Macaca mulatta: one gene and its partners. The protein of the gene in region 2 purifies or fractionates together with the protein of the main gene of each other region. This does not show direct contact. Links are inferred from orthologs where the notes say so. Each region holds a gene or a part of one and is shown on either strand. Other genes may lie near its edges.

Region 1 (4,142 bases), on a different chromosome or scaffold from region 2:
TGGATGCAAAAAAAAAATAAGTTTGGACTCATTAATTCCTTGGTTCCTTCAAAGTTTTAATATTTTATTATGCCTTTGATTCCTTCTCACTTTTGTTTCACCTTTTCCATTCATTTCTTCTTCTCCTCTTCCTCCTTTCCCTTTCCTTTCTGTGTTTCTGCTTATTTTCTATTACAAACCAAAATATGTGGACCATAAACTGCATCTGCAGTTCCTTTAGCCCTAACAGACTACGAGTTCTATTTCTCTTTATCTTTCTCTTTTTCACTTTCTTGTCTTTCCATTACTTATAAGTTTCTTAATTTTCCTGAGTCTCAGTTTTTCCATCTGGAAAGTGGAGATAACAATTACTAGATTGTTGTATCAGATGAATTAAGTAATGCTCGTAGCTTAACACAAAGGCCAAGATGTCATTAACTTTACCCTCACTTGACCTTCTGCAAGCCTGCTGTGAAATATAAAACACTATATAAATGTTAGTTGTTTTTGTTTTTATTAAAGTATGTTGAAGTAGAAAGATGGTTTTGAGTTTGAAAAGCTCCAGATAAATCCTTGGATTTTTATGAGTCTCAATTTCCTTTTCTGTAAAATGAGTAACATAGGGGTTTTTCCGCCCCAAGAAACTAAGAGTCCATGTACTGAAAGCATCATTCTACAAGTATTAATACATATATAGTAATCATGGTAGAGGGTGTCCTGAAGTCACACTGGGAATATTTGTGAGGATTCAACGGAATAAAATTTTAAAAGATGTCTGACCAATAGTAAGCACTCAATACATGTTAGCAATTATTATCTTTTACTCTTCTCACTTCTTTTCTCCTGCTCTTCAAAAAAGTGAGTGGTTGAACGACCTAGGTGATCTCTGCTGCTAAACTTCTATTATTGATTATTGTTTACTTCCTCTCTGCCCCTTACTCCCCCATCCCGTTTTTTTCCCGCTTCTTCACTCATTCCATTACAGCTTTTCTCTTGCCTCAGGCACCCAGGGCAGTCCTGATCTCCAGCTCTCCAGCGGCTTAGAACAAACACAGAGTCGGCCGAGACCAGGGGACCCGCCAAAGACGTCTGTGTTTAGTGGCTAGCGCTCTTCCACTAATAAAGTTTTATTGAAATACAGTATTTAAAAAGGCGCCCGTCATTCTTCCCCCGGCGACCAATCGGAGAGTAGAATGCTTGCGTCCCTCACTGGAGCTTCAGCGGTTGGAACGCGGGGGCGGGGCATGTCCTGCCGAAATTTGCGTCCTTAGAGCGGAAGTACGGCCGGAAGCCCGCCATAGAGTTTAGTGGCCAGAGCGACTCTTCAGGGAGGTGGCAGGAAAGGCTTGGAACAGCTGCCGGAGGTGACGGAGCGGCGGCCCCGCCCGGTGCGCTGGAGGGCGAAGCTTCCAGGTAGCGGCCCGCAGAGCCTGACCCAGGGTACGACGAAGCAGTCGGCGGGAGCCCACGGTCGCTGGGCGGTGTCTTTAAGGGAGGGGGCGGAGCCACGTGTAAGCTTCATTGGGGTGAGGTCACGTGGTTGTGGGCGCGTGCGGGGCAGGAGTGGAGAACTGAGGGAGCGTCGTCGTTAGTGTGGATACCATGCGACACCCCTTTCTCCGTTGCATCCTGTCTTAGGGTTCAGTGGCGGTGCACATGATGGGGCTTGGGGTTAGGCTCAGGGGAGGGGGTGGGTGTGGCAGCCTTGTGAAGTGGCTGACTAGGATTTGTAGATCAGAATTCTAGACCGCTCCATGTGTGATTCCTCACCGCAGAACCGACTTAGTACCTATACAATCCAGTCCTTCAGCCTTGTGCTTCCCATCCTACCAGCCATCGGGGATCTCTAGCTTCACATTCTCTTTCCTTGCAGCTCTGGACATCCTGAGCCCAGGTGCCCCCAGCTCAGTGCAGTCATGAGTGCGGAAGTGAAGGTGACAGGGCAGAACCAGGAGCAATTTCTGCTCCTAGCCAAGTCGGCCAAGGGGGCAGCGCTGGCCACACTCATCCATCAGGTGCTGGAGGCCCCTGGTGTCTACGTGTTTGGAGAACTGCTGGACATGCCCAATGTTAGAGAGGTGGGTTGCTGGCTTGAATAGTCCACAGAGAAGCATGGGCAAAGGTTTGAATTTGAGAATGGGTGGGCAGGGCTCAATTTGTGATCCCATACCATTCAGTTGAACAAGAAAACAGTGATGATTAAATGCCAACTTGCAAAAGTAACCAGTAAACAAGCAAACCAGCTTTCCTTTGGAGATAAAGGATCTGTAAAGTCCACTGTTTTTCATTTTAAGCAAAAGAGCATGTTATTCAGAATAGGAAATCTGATTTCCAGCCCGTCTCCACCAGCGTAATAGCTGTTAATTCTCATGTCACCTTGATCAGGTCACTTTTGTTTTAGGGCCTGAGCTCTCTTTTTTAAAAATGGAGACAATACTGCCCCCTCTGTTGTGGGAATAAAGTGAGATTATGGGAAAGTGTAAAGTCTGGTACAAGTGGGTAGTGAACATGTTAAATTAGCATGCCCTGTTCTTCCCTATGTGCAGCATATGCTAATCTGTTCAAGGTAGCTAAGGGAGAATGTGTCTTTTTCCCAAAGACACATGGCAAACACTAGGAACACAGCAGAGAGAACCATTCACACAAAAGTGGCAGAGTTAATTTACAGAGGAGGCAGCCTGAGTCCTGACATGCTGACAGTGATATGTGGGTAAACTGAGCTAAGTTATGTGGGGCCTGTGGTTTAACCTTTTGGATCACTCTGTGATATGGTGAAAACTGGCTGACTTTTCCCTGCTTTCATCTGCAGTGGAACTAAAGAGTATCCATCAAGGTGATGAAAAAGAAGCACTTGGCCTGGTGCAGTGGCTCACGCCTGTAATCCCAGCACTTTGGAAGGCCAAGGCAGGTGGATCACCTGAGGTCAGGAGGTGAAACCAATATGGCAGAACCCTGTCTCTATTAAAAATACAAACAGGGCTGGGTGCAGTGGCTCACGCCTGTAATCCCAGCACTTTGGGAGGCTGAGGCAGGCGGATCACAAGGTCAGGAGATCGAGACCATCCTGACGGTCTAACACGGTGAAACCCCATCTCTACTAAAAATACAAAAAATTAGCTGAGGCCGGGCGCAGTGGCTCAAGCCTGTAATCCCAGCACTTTGGGAGGCCGAGAGGGGCGGGTCACGAGGTCAGGAGATCGAGACCATCCTGGCTAACACGGTGAAACCCCGTCTCTACTAAAAAATACAAAAAACTAGCCGGGCGAGGTGGCCGGCGCCTGTAGTCCCAGCTACTCGGGAGGCTGAGGCAGGAGAATGGCGTAAACCCGGGAGGCGGAGCTTGCAGTGAGCTGAGATCCGCGCACTGCACTCCAGCCTGGGCGACAGAGCGAGACTCCGTCTCAAAAAAAAAAAAAAAGGCCGGGCGCGGTGGCTCAAACCTGTAATCCCAGCACTTTGGGAGGCCAAGACGGGCAGATCACGAGTTCAGGAGATCGAGACCATCCTAGCTAACACGGTGACACCCCGTCTCTACTAAAAATACAAAAAACTAGCCGGGCGAGGTGGCGGGCGCCTGTAGTCCCAGCTACTGGGGAGGCTGAGGCAGGAGAATGGCGTAAAAAAACCCGGGAGGCGGAGCTTGCAGTGAGCTGAGATCCGGGCACTGCACTCCAGCCTGGGCCACAGAGCTAGACTACGTCTCAAAAAAAAAAAAAAAAAAAATTAGCTGAGCATGGTGGCGGGCGCCTGTAGTTGTAGCTACTTGGGAGGCTAAGGCAGGAGGATGGCATGAACCCGGGAGGCGGAGGTTGCAGTGAGTTGAGATGGCGCCACTGCACTCCAGAGCAAGACTCTGTCCCAAAAAAAAAAAACCACAAAAAACAGGGCCGGGCTTGGTGGCTCATGCCTGTTCCCAGCACTTTGGGAGGCTGAGGTGGGTGGATCATGAGGTCAGGAGTTCAAGACCAGTCTGGCCAAGGTAGTGAAACCCTGTCTCTACTAAAAATACAAAAATTAGCTGGGCGTGGTGGCAGGCGCCTGTAATCCCAGCTACTTGGGAGGCCGAGGCAGGAGAATCACTTGAACCCGGGAGGCAGAGGTTGCAGTGAGCCGAGATTGCGCCACTGCACTCCAGCCTGGGCGACAGAGTGAGACTCTGTCTC
Region 2 (3,649 bases):
CCCCAAAAAACAGTGCCTAATACATAGTAAGCAATTAATAAGGTTAAGCCATTGATATTATCATGATTACTTTCATCATAATTTTCTGGGATGACTGGAAGAATAGGAAGGGGCACAGATCTGACTCTTGCCCTCCTAACTCCGCCACTGCTCTGAGCTGAAGCTCTTCTAAAGAGAGGACTGTGGGAATAGCAAATTAGGGCACATCCATAAAATGGAATAATACCTCAGCAATAAAATGAGATGAGCTTGTTGATAAAGCAAACTCAGATGAATCTCAGAGGCATGATGAGTGACATGAAACAAGACAGTCTCAAAAGGTTGCATACTGCCTAATTCATTTACATGACATTCTATTTTTAATTCTATTTTTAATTTAATTTTATTTTTAGAGACAGGATCTTGCTCTGTCACCCACGCTAGAGTGCAGTGATGCGATCACAACTCACTGCAGCCTCGACCTTCAGGGTTCCGTCATCCTCCCACCTCAGCCTTCTGAGGAGCTAGAACCACAGGCACCTACCACCATGTCTATATATATATATATGTGTGTGTGTGTGTGTGTGTGTGTATATATATATATATATATTTTTTTTTTTTTGTAGAGATGGGGGTTCTCCCTATATTGCTCAGGCTGGTCTTGAACTCCTGGCCTCAAGCAGTCCCCCCGCCTCAGTCTCCCAGGTGGTGGGATTACTGTGCCTGGTCTATTGGACATTCTATGAGGGCAAAACAATAGTGATGGAGAACAGATCAGCCAGGGGCTGGGGGCGAGGGGAGGGTGTGATTGCAATGGGATAGCACAATGGAGTTTTTGGGCTGTTGCAAATGTTCTGCATTTTGATTTGGGTGGTGGTTATTTAAATCTATACATATGTTAAAATTCAGAGAACTGTATACCCCAAATTTGCTATATGTTAATTAAAAAAAAGAAAGTAAAAATAAAGCCTTAAGAAATGAAGGGAGGCCAGACTTAGTGGCTCACGCCTATAATCCCAGCACTTTGGGAGGCTGAGGCTGGCGGATCACCTGAGGTCAGGAGTTCAAGACCAGCCTGGCCAACATGGTGAAACCCTGTCTCTTCTAAAAATACAAAATTTAGCCATGCGTGGTGGTGGGCACCTGTAATCCCAGCTGCTTGGGAGGCTGAGGCAGGAGAATCGCTTGAACCTGGAAGGCAGAGGTTGCAATGAGCTGGGATCACGCCATTGCACTCCAGCCTGGGTGACAGAGTGGGACTCCATCTCAAAAAAAAAAAAAAACAAAAAAAAGGAAAGGGAGGGAGGGAGGGAGGAAGAAAGAGAAAGAAAGAAAGGAAGAAAAAGAAAAGAAGGGGCCAGGCAAAGTGGCTCATGCCTATAATCTTAGCACTTTGAGAAGCCACGGTAGGAGGATCACTTGAGCTCAGGAGTTCGAGACCAGCCTGGGCACCACAATGAGACCCTGTCTCTACCAACAATTTTTTAAAAATTAGCACTTGTAATGCCAGCACTTAGGGAGGCCGAGGTGGGCAGATCGCTTGAACTCAAGAGTTCAAGACCAGCCTGGGCAACATGACAAAACCCCATCTTTAAAAAAAAAAAAAAAAATACAAAAATGAACTGGGCATGGTGTGTGCACCTGTAGTCCCAGCTACTTGGGAGGCTGAGGTAGGAGGATCGTTTGAGCCTGGGAGATTGAGGCTGCAGTGAGCCGTGTTCGTGCCACTGCACTTCAGCCTAAGTGACAGAGAAAGACCCTATTTCAAGGGAAAAGAAAAAGAAGTGAAGGCTCTGTGGAGAGCGTCCTAGTGTTTAGGTGTCCGAGCTGACCTGGCCCCACGCACTGCTCGTTGGTGCTTCCGTGACAGCGCAGCACGCGTGCCCAGGCCTGGTTCCTCACTGCCAGGCCCATCATCACTCACTGGCTTTTTCCTTCCTCATGTTAGATTGGAGCTGGAGGGAGCATCACTGGGCTGAAGTTTAACCCTCTCAATACCAACCAGTTTTACGCCTCCTCAATGGAGGGAACAACTAGGCTGCAAGACTTTAAAGGCAACATTCTACGAGTTTTTGCCAGCTCAGACACCATCAAGTGAGTAGTTTAACTAGGTGGGGAAAGGGCTTCTAAGCTTAGGTGTAGTTCCGGCAAGAGCATCCAGATCCCATTTCCTCAACCCAACCTGGCACAGGGAAGAAAGGAAAGATGTCAGCCACCTTCCGCCCTTCTTTCTCTTTCTCAAACTGTTCCTTGGCCACCCTCACTTTGGTCCAGGTGGGTTACTGCTTTGGGAAGGTGTTCTGGAGCCTCAGCTCTTCTGTAAGTCATACCTGTATTAGACTAGACCTGGACCTTCACTAGATAAGCCAGCATGGCATAGGCCCAGAAAGCCACCTAGAGAATGGAGCAGCAGCTAAGAACTTGAGACTGAATTCCCTGCACTCGCTGTGGTGTAATGACCTGAGCCGTTCCTGGGTGCAAGCTTACATGGATGGAATCTTGTCCATAAAGTGCTCTGAACTTCCCAAGAGAAAGTGGCTGGAGAAATTACAGAATGCAGCTGGGTGCAGTGGCTCATGCCTGGTGGGTGGATCACCTGAGGTCAGGAGTTCAAGACCAGCCTGGCCAACATGGTGAAACCCCATCTCTACTAACAATACAAAAAATGAGCCGGATGTGGTGGTAGGTGCCTGTAATTCCCAGCTACTTGGGAGGCTGAAGCAAGAGAGTAGCTTGAACCCAGGAGGCAGAGGTTGCAGTGAGCCGAGATTGCGCCACTGCACTCCAGCCTGGGCAACAAGAGTGAAATTCCATCTCCAAAAAAAAAAAAAAAAAAATTACAAAATACTCGTCACTTTGATTTCCAGCTAGAGCCGGGACTCTGACTGCTCCCTGAGGAATTAAGTGAGGGTGCTGGGGTGTAACTAGCATTGGATGGGATCCTGGGCTGTCCTGCAGGGATGAGGAGTGCATGCGCAATTCAGCAGGTGATTGGATAGACGAGGCTCCAGGCTCGTTTTCCGCAAGAAATCTTCTTGCTTGAAGATATTCATAAGGGATGGCAAAAGTCAGTGTAGCATGGATTTGAGGGTTTGAGAGAAAAACTGAGCTGAGCTCCTCTGGCTGGATAGCAGGATCCCTGAAGCACCCCTAGTCAGCCTCCCAGTCCAGTGGTTTGAGGGACCAGAAGAGCTCCTGGTTGTGTGTTTTTCCCTCAGTGTTCAGAAGGGGGCAGAAGTGCCTTTCCAGCCAGCTCTGAGGAACAGAGCAAGGCAATCCCTGTTTGGCTTGTGTCTCCTTTGGCCCAAAGGGTGGAGAGTGAAAGGAGAGAGCAGTAAAGGAGGATTGCTTAGAACCCGGGGTGTGGGGGCGGGCGTGCCCTGAGGCTTGCTTTATGGTTTGAGCTTTGTCTGCTTCAGAGACTCTTAGGAGCTGGGGATCCTGGGCCCAGCAGTAACCGGACAGATTTCTGAGCCCCATTACCCCATTCCCTCTGTCTGGACGGTAGAGCAGTCTGAATGTTCCTCGCTAGGAATCCACAGCAAGACAGTTATTCATTCATTCAACAAATATTTATTGAATGCCCACTGTGGGTTAGTCACTGGAGCAGCAACAGTGAGTAAACAGGCCTATCTCTGTCCCCAAGAATCTTACAACACAGTCTTTCCCT
Region 3 (3,649 bases), on a different chromosome or scaffold from region 2:
GGTAAAAATGTTGTTTCTTATAGTTTAGTAAGTGCAAGTTAGAGTCTCAAGGTGACTTTTGAGTTTCTAGACTTAAAATTATCCCCTTTATAGGAAATGTTATATTTAAATTTTAATGATTTATATGTAAAATGTACGAGATTAAAAGCCTGATAAGATTTATAGCATGGTTTTTTGTTTTTGTTTTTTGTGTTTTTTTTTTTCAAGACAGGGACTCGCTCTGTTGCCCAGGCTAGAGTGCAGTGGCGTGATCTTGGCTCACTGCAACCTCCACCTCCTGGGCTCAAGCAATTCTCCCTCCTCAGCCTCCTGAGTAGCTGGGACTACAGGCGTGCACCAGTAGGCCTGGATAATTTTTGTATTTTTAGTAGAGATGGGTTTTGCCGTGTTGGCCTGACTGGTCTCAAACTCCTGACTTCAAGTGATCTGCCCACCTTGGCCTACCAAAGTGCTGGGATTACAGACATGAGCCACCATGCCCTTCCATAATTTTTGTATTTTTAGTAGAGACAGGTTTTCTCTGTGTTGGCCAGGACAGGAGTGTTGGCCACTCCTGTCCTCAAGTGATCCACCCACCTCAGCCTCCCAAAGTGCTGGGATTATAGGCATGAGCCACTGCACCCGGTCTATGGCATGGATTTTATTTTTTTTTAAATAAACTCTCACACTTATTACCAGATATGTGTTTAAAATAAAAAATTTGGAAACAATCTAACTCAGTTACTGAGTATAAAACTGGCTAAATAAATTATGGTATATTCCATCAGTGGACTGCCAGGCAGCCTTTAAAAGAAAAAAAGAAAAAAAGGTAACCGTCATGTATATTGATGACTTATGTGAAGCAAACTCCAAAGCAGTTTATTGAGTGAAAAAGCAAAGTGTAAAACATTATTATTGTTACGTGGTATGCTACTGTGTGTGTTTTTATCAATCTATATATATGCAAAGAATATGTATTCTGTATACAAAGAATATCTCTAAGGGTAAGCAATTGCCTATAGATTTCACATCTGGGCTGATAAAACTGGGTAATTGAGGAGAAAGAGATGGGAAGGAGACTGGTTACCTTTATTGTACTGGTACCTTATAAATTAATTAAAGAGTAATCTTAAACTTTTTTGCCCCTTCATTTGTTAGGTTGGCCGCCTTGAAAATGCAATCGGGTGGTATCATAGCCATCCTGGCTATGGCTGCTGGCTTTCTGGGATTGATGTTAGTACTCAGATGCTCAATCAGCAGTTCCAGGAACCATTTGTAGCAGTGGTGGTAAGAATTTTAAAACTAGTTTAATTAAGTTCTTTATGAAGATTTGCTGAAGCAAGTATAATGAGAAATAATAACAGTGTAGTAAAGAGAAATTGCTCTGGTGTCAGTCTGCCTAGGTTTCAATGTGAATTCCATCTCCTAGAAGCTGAGACTTTGAGCAAGTGTTTTTAACCACTGTGTATCTCACTTCCCCCCTCTATAAAATGTGGATAGTCATAGCATCTATGTCTCAGTGCCAGCTCATCATAGGCATTCAATCAGTGTTGACTGATCTGAGATAAGCAGGAATTGCTAGAGCAGCTCTTATTATGTTCAGGGTGTTTTAAGTGCAATCCAGTTTTATGAGGAAGGTAGGAATTATTCATCTCTTAAAAGGAAAAAAGAAAACTTTAAAAAGAGATGAGCAAACCTTCAAATGATATTCTTAAATATTATAATAATTCTAATCTCTAAGTTAGCTGTGAGACACTTATATTACCCTCTTACTGAACTTCTTTGGTTTTTTGGTTTGTTTATTCTTATTTGGTTATTGTGTATGTATATAGTGTTATATGTATGTATACATTTCTAGGTTAATAATGTTTCAATAAAAGGCATACAGTTTTATATCAGTAAATATTAAATATATCTTTCTTATAGATTGATCCAACAAGAACAATATCTGCAGGGAAAGTGAATCTTGGCGCCTTTAGGACATACCCAAAGGTAACTTTTTTTTTTTTTTAAGAGATAGATAGAGTCTCACTGTGTTACCTAGGCTGGAGTACAGTGGCTATTCACAGGCATGATCATAGTGTACTACAGCCTTCATCTCCTAGGCTCAAGCCAACTCAGCCTCCCAAGTAGATGGGACTGTAGGAATGCTTAGTAATTTTTAAAATTATAAGTCCTTACATGTTTTAAATTCCAAATATTTGACTTATTATTAAAGACATTAGCAATATCTCTTTTTGTTAAAACAATTTAATAATATTTACAAAATAGTAAACTACCACAAGCTGTCCCTAGCAAAGGGTAATACATTTATGTTATATATTGTTAATTTTACTGGGAAAGCAGTCTTTAATAACCATCTGTGTGCCTGTGGCATTCTGACAGGTACTAGAGAAAAAACGAGCTAAATCTATAGGTCTGTTTCCTTCCCTGGCAGGAGCCTGCAATCTAAAATAGTTAATTAGAACAAAAGTACATCACCTAAGGAGAAGAAAAATAAATCTGTAAGCAAAATCCAGCCTATAGCCACCAAACAGGGTAGGGGGAAAGTAGAAACAGTATTTTTTTTTTTATTATTAGAATGCTCATGTTAAGTATTTGCCTCCCAAAATTAATAATCCTGTAATTAGAAAGCTGCATAGAAAACATGATGTTTTTCTCGTTTATATATATATATTTTTAATCTTCTGTTTGCCTCATTTTTGTTTAGGGCTACAAACCTCCTGATGAAGGACCTTCTGAGTACCAGACTATCCCACTTAATAAAATAGAAGATTTTGGTGTACACTGCAAACAGTAAGTAATTTAAAAAGATATCTGGGCCAGGCATGGTGACTCACACCTATAATCCCAGCACTTTGGGAAGCCAAAGTGAGAGAATTGCTTGAGGACAGGAATTCAACACTAGCCTGGGCAACATAGTGAGACCCCATCTCTACAAAACATGTTATAAAAGTTAGCCAGATGAGGTGGCACAGTCCTATAGTCCCAGCACTCAGGAGGCTGAAAGAAACCATAGATATCAACCAGTCCAAGGCCCTTTTTTACAGATGAGAAAAAAAGCACAAAATACATTTCATGATAGCTTTTACAATAATAGTATATGAATTTAGGTGAATGTTTGCATTTTTTAATTTTTTTTTTTTGCATTTTTTATTAATGTTTCAAACTAGCATGTCATTTGCCTTTTACACAACCTAAACATTTTTTCAATGTACAAGATACTTGGCCTATATAAAATTATGACAAGATAAAGATGGGTTCAGGGCCAGCTGACACTAGCATGTCTGCAGCCCTCAAAATATATAATTTCTACTGAACAAAGATTCTTTCTAATCTTTGAAAGATTTGAAAGATTAAAGAAGCCATATTAAAAAGTTAAAGTTATAAAGTATAAGAATTCTTACTAAAAACCACTGTATTACATACCTTCCCCCACGACCCACAAGACATAGTCTTGCTCTGTTGCCCATGCTGGAGTGCAGTAGCATGATCTTGGCTTACTGCAACCTCCACCACCTGGGTCCAAGCAATTCTCTTGCCTCAACATCCCAAGTAGCTGGGATTACAGGCGCATGCCACCACACCCAGCTAATTTTTGTATTTTTAGTAGAAACAGGGTTTCACCATGTCGGCCAGGCTGGTCTCAAACTCCTTACCTCGTGATCCA

Evidence for each region.
Region 1: the proteins of DDB2 (region 2) and COPS7A purify together in Homo sapiens (affinity purification with mass spectrometry; 5 studies listed by BioGRID and IntAct, counting the BioPlex papers as one, with this or other methods). This does not show direct contact. The link is inferred for Macaca mulatta from reciprocal best matches to the Homo sapiens genes DDB2 and COPS7A.
Region 3: the proteins of DDB2 (region 2) and COPS5 purify together in Homo sapiens (affinity purification with mass spectrometry; 10 studies listed by BioGRID and IntAct, counting the BioPlex papers as one, with this or other methods). This does not show direct contact. The link is inferred for Macaca mulatta from reciprocal best matches to the Homo sapiens genes DDB2 and COPS5.

The regions. Positions count from the first base shown.
Region 1 is NC_133416.1:7,678,795-7,682,936, forward strand, and holds the start of COPS7A (COP9 signalosome complex subunit 7a), read left to right. Parts: upstream 1-1,271; 5' UTR 1,272-1,392; exon of another isoform or gene 1,393-1,490; intron 1,491-1,852; 5' UTR 1,853-1,895; coding exon 1,896-2,057; intron 2,058-4,142.
Region 2 is NC_133419.1:18,365,725-18,369,373, reverse strand, and holds part of DDB2 (DNA damage-binding protein 2), read left to right. Parts: intron 1-1,927; coding exon 1,928-2,073; intron 2,074-3,649.
Region 3 is NC_133413.1:77,749,660-77,753,308, reverse strand, and holds part of COPS5 (COP9 signalosome complex subunit 5), read left to right. Parts: coding exon 1-1; intron 2-1,137; coding exon 1,138-1,266; intron 1,267-1,905; coding exon 1,906-1,971; intron 1,972-2,689; coding exon 2,690-2,775; intron 2,776-3,649. UniProt on the Homo sapiens protein: Probable protease subunit of the COP9 signalosome complex (CSN), a complex involved in various cellular and developmental processes.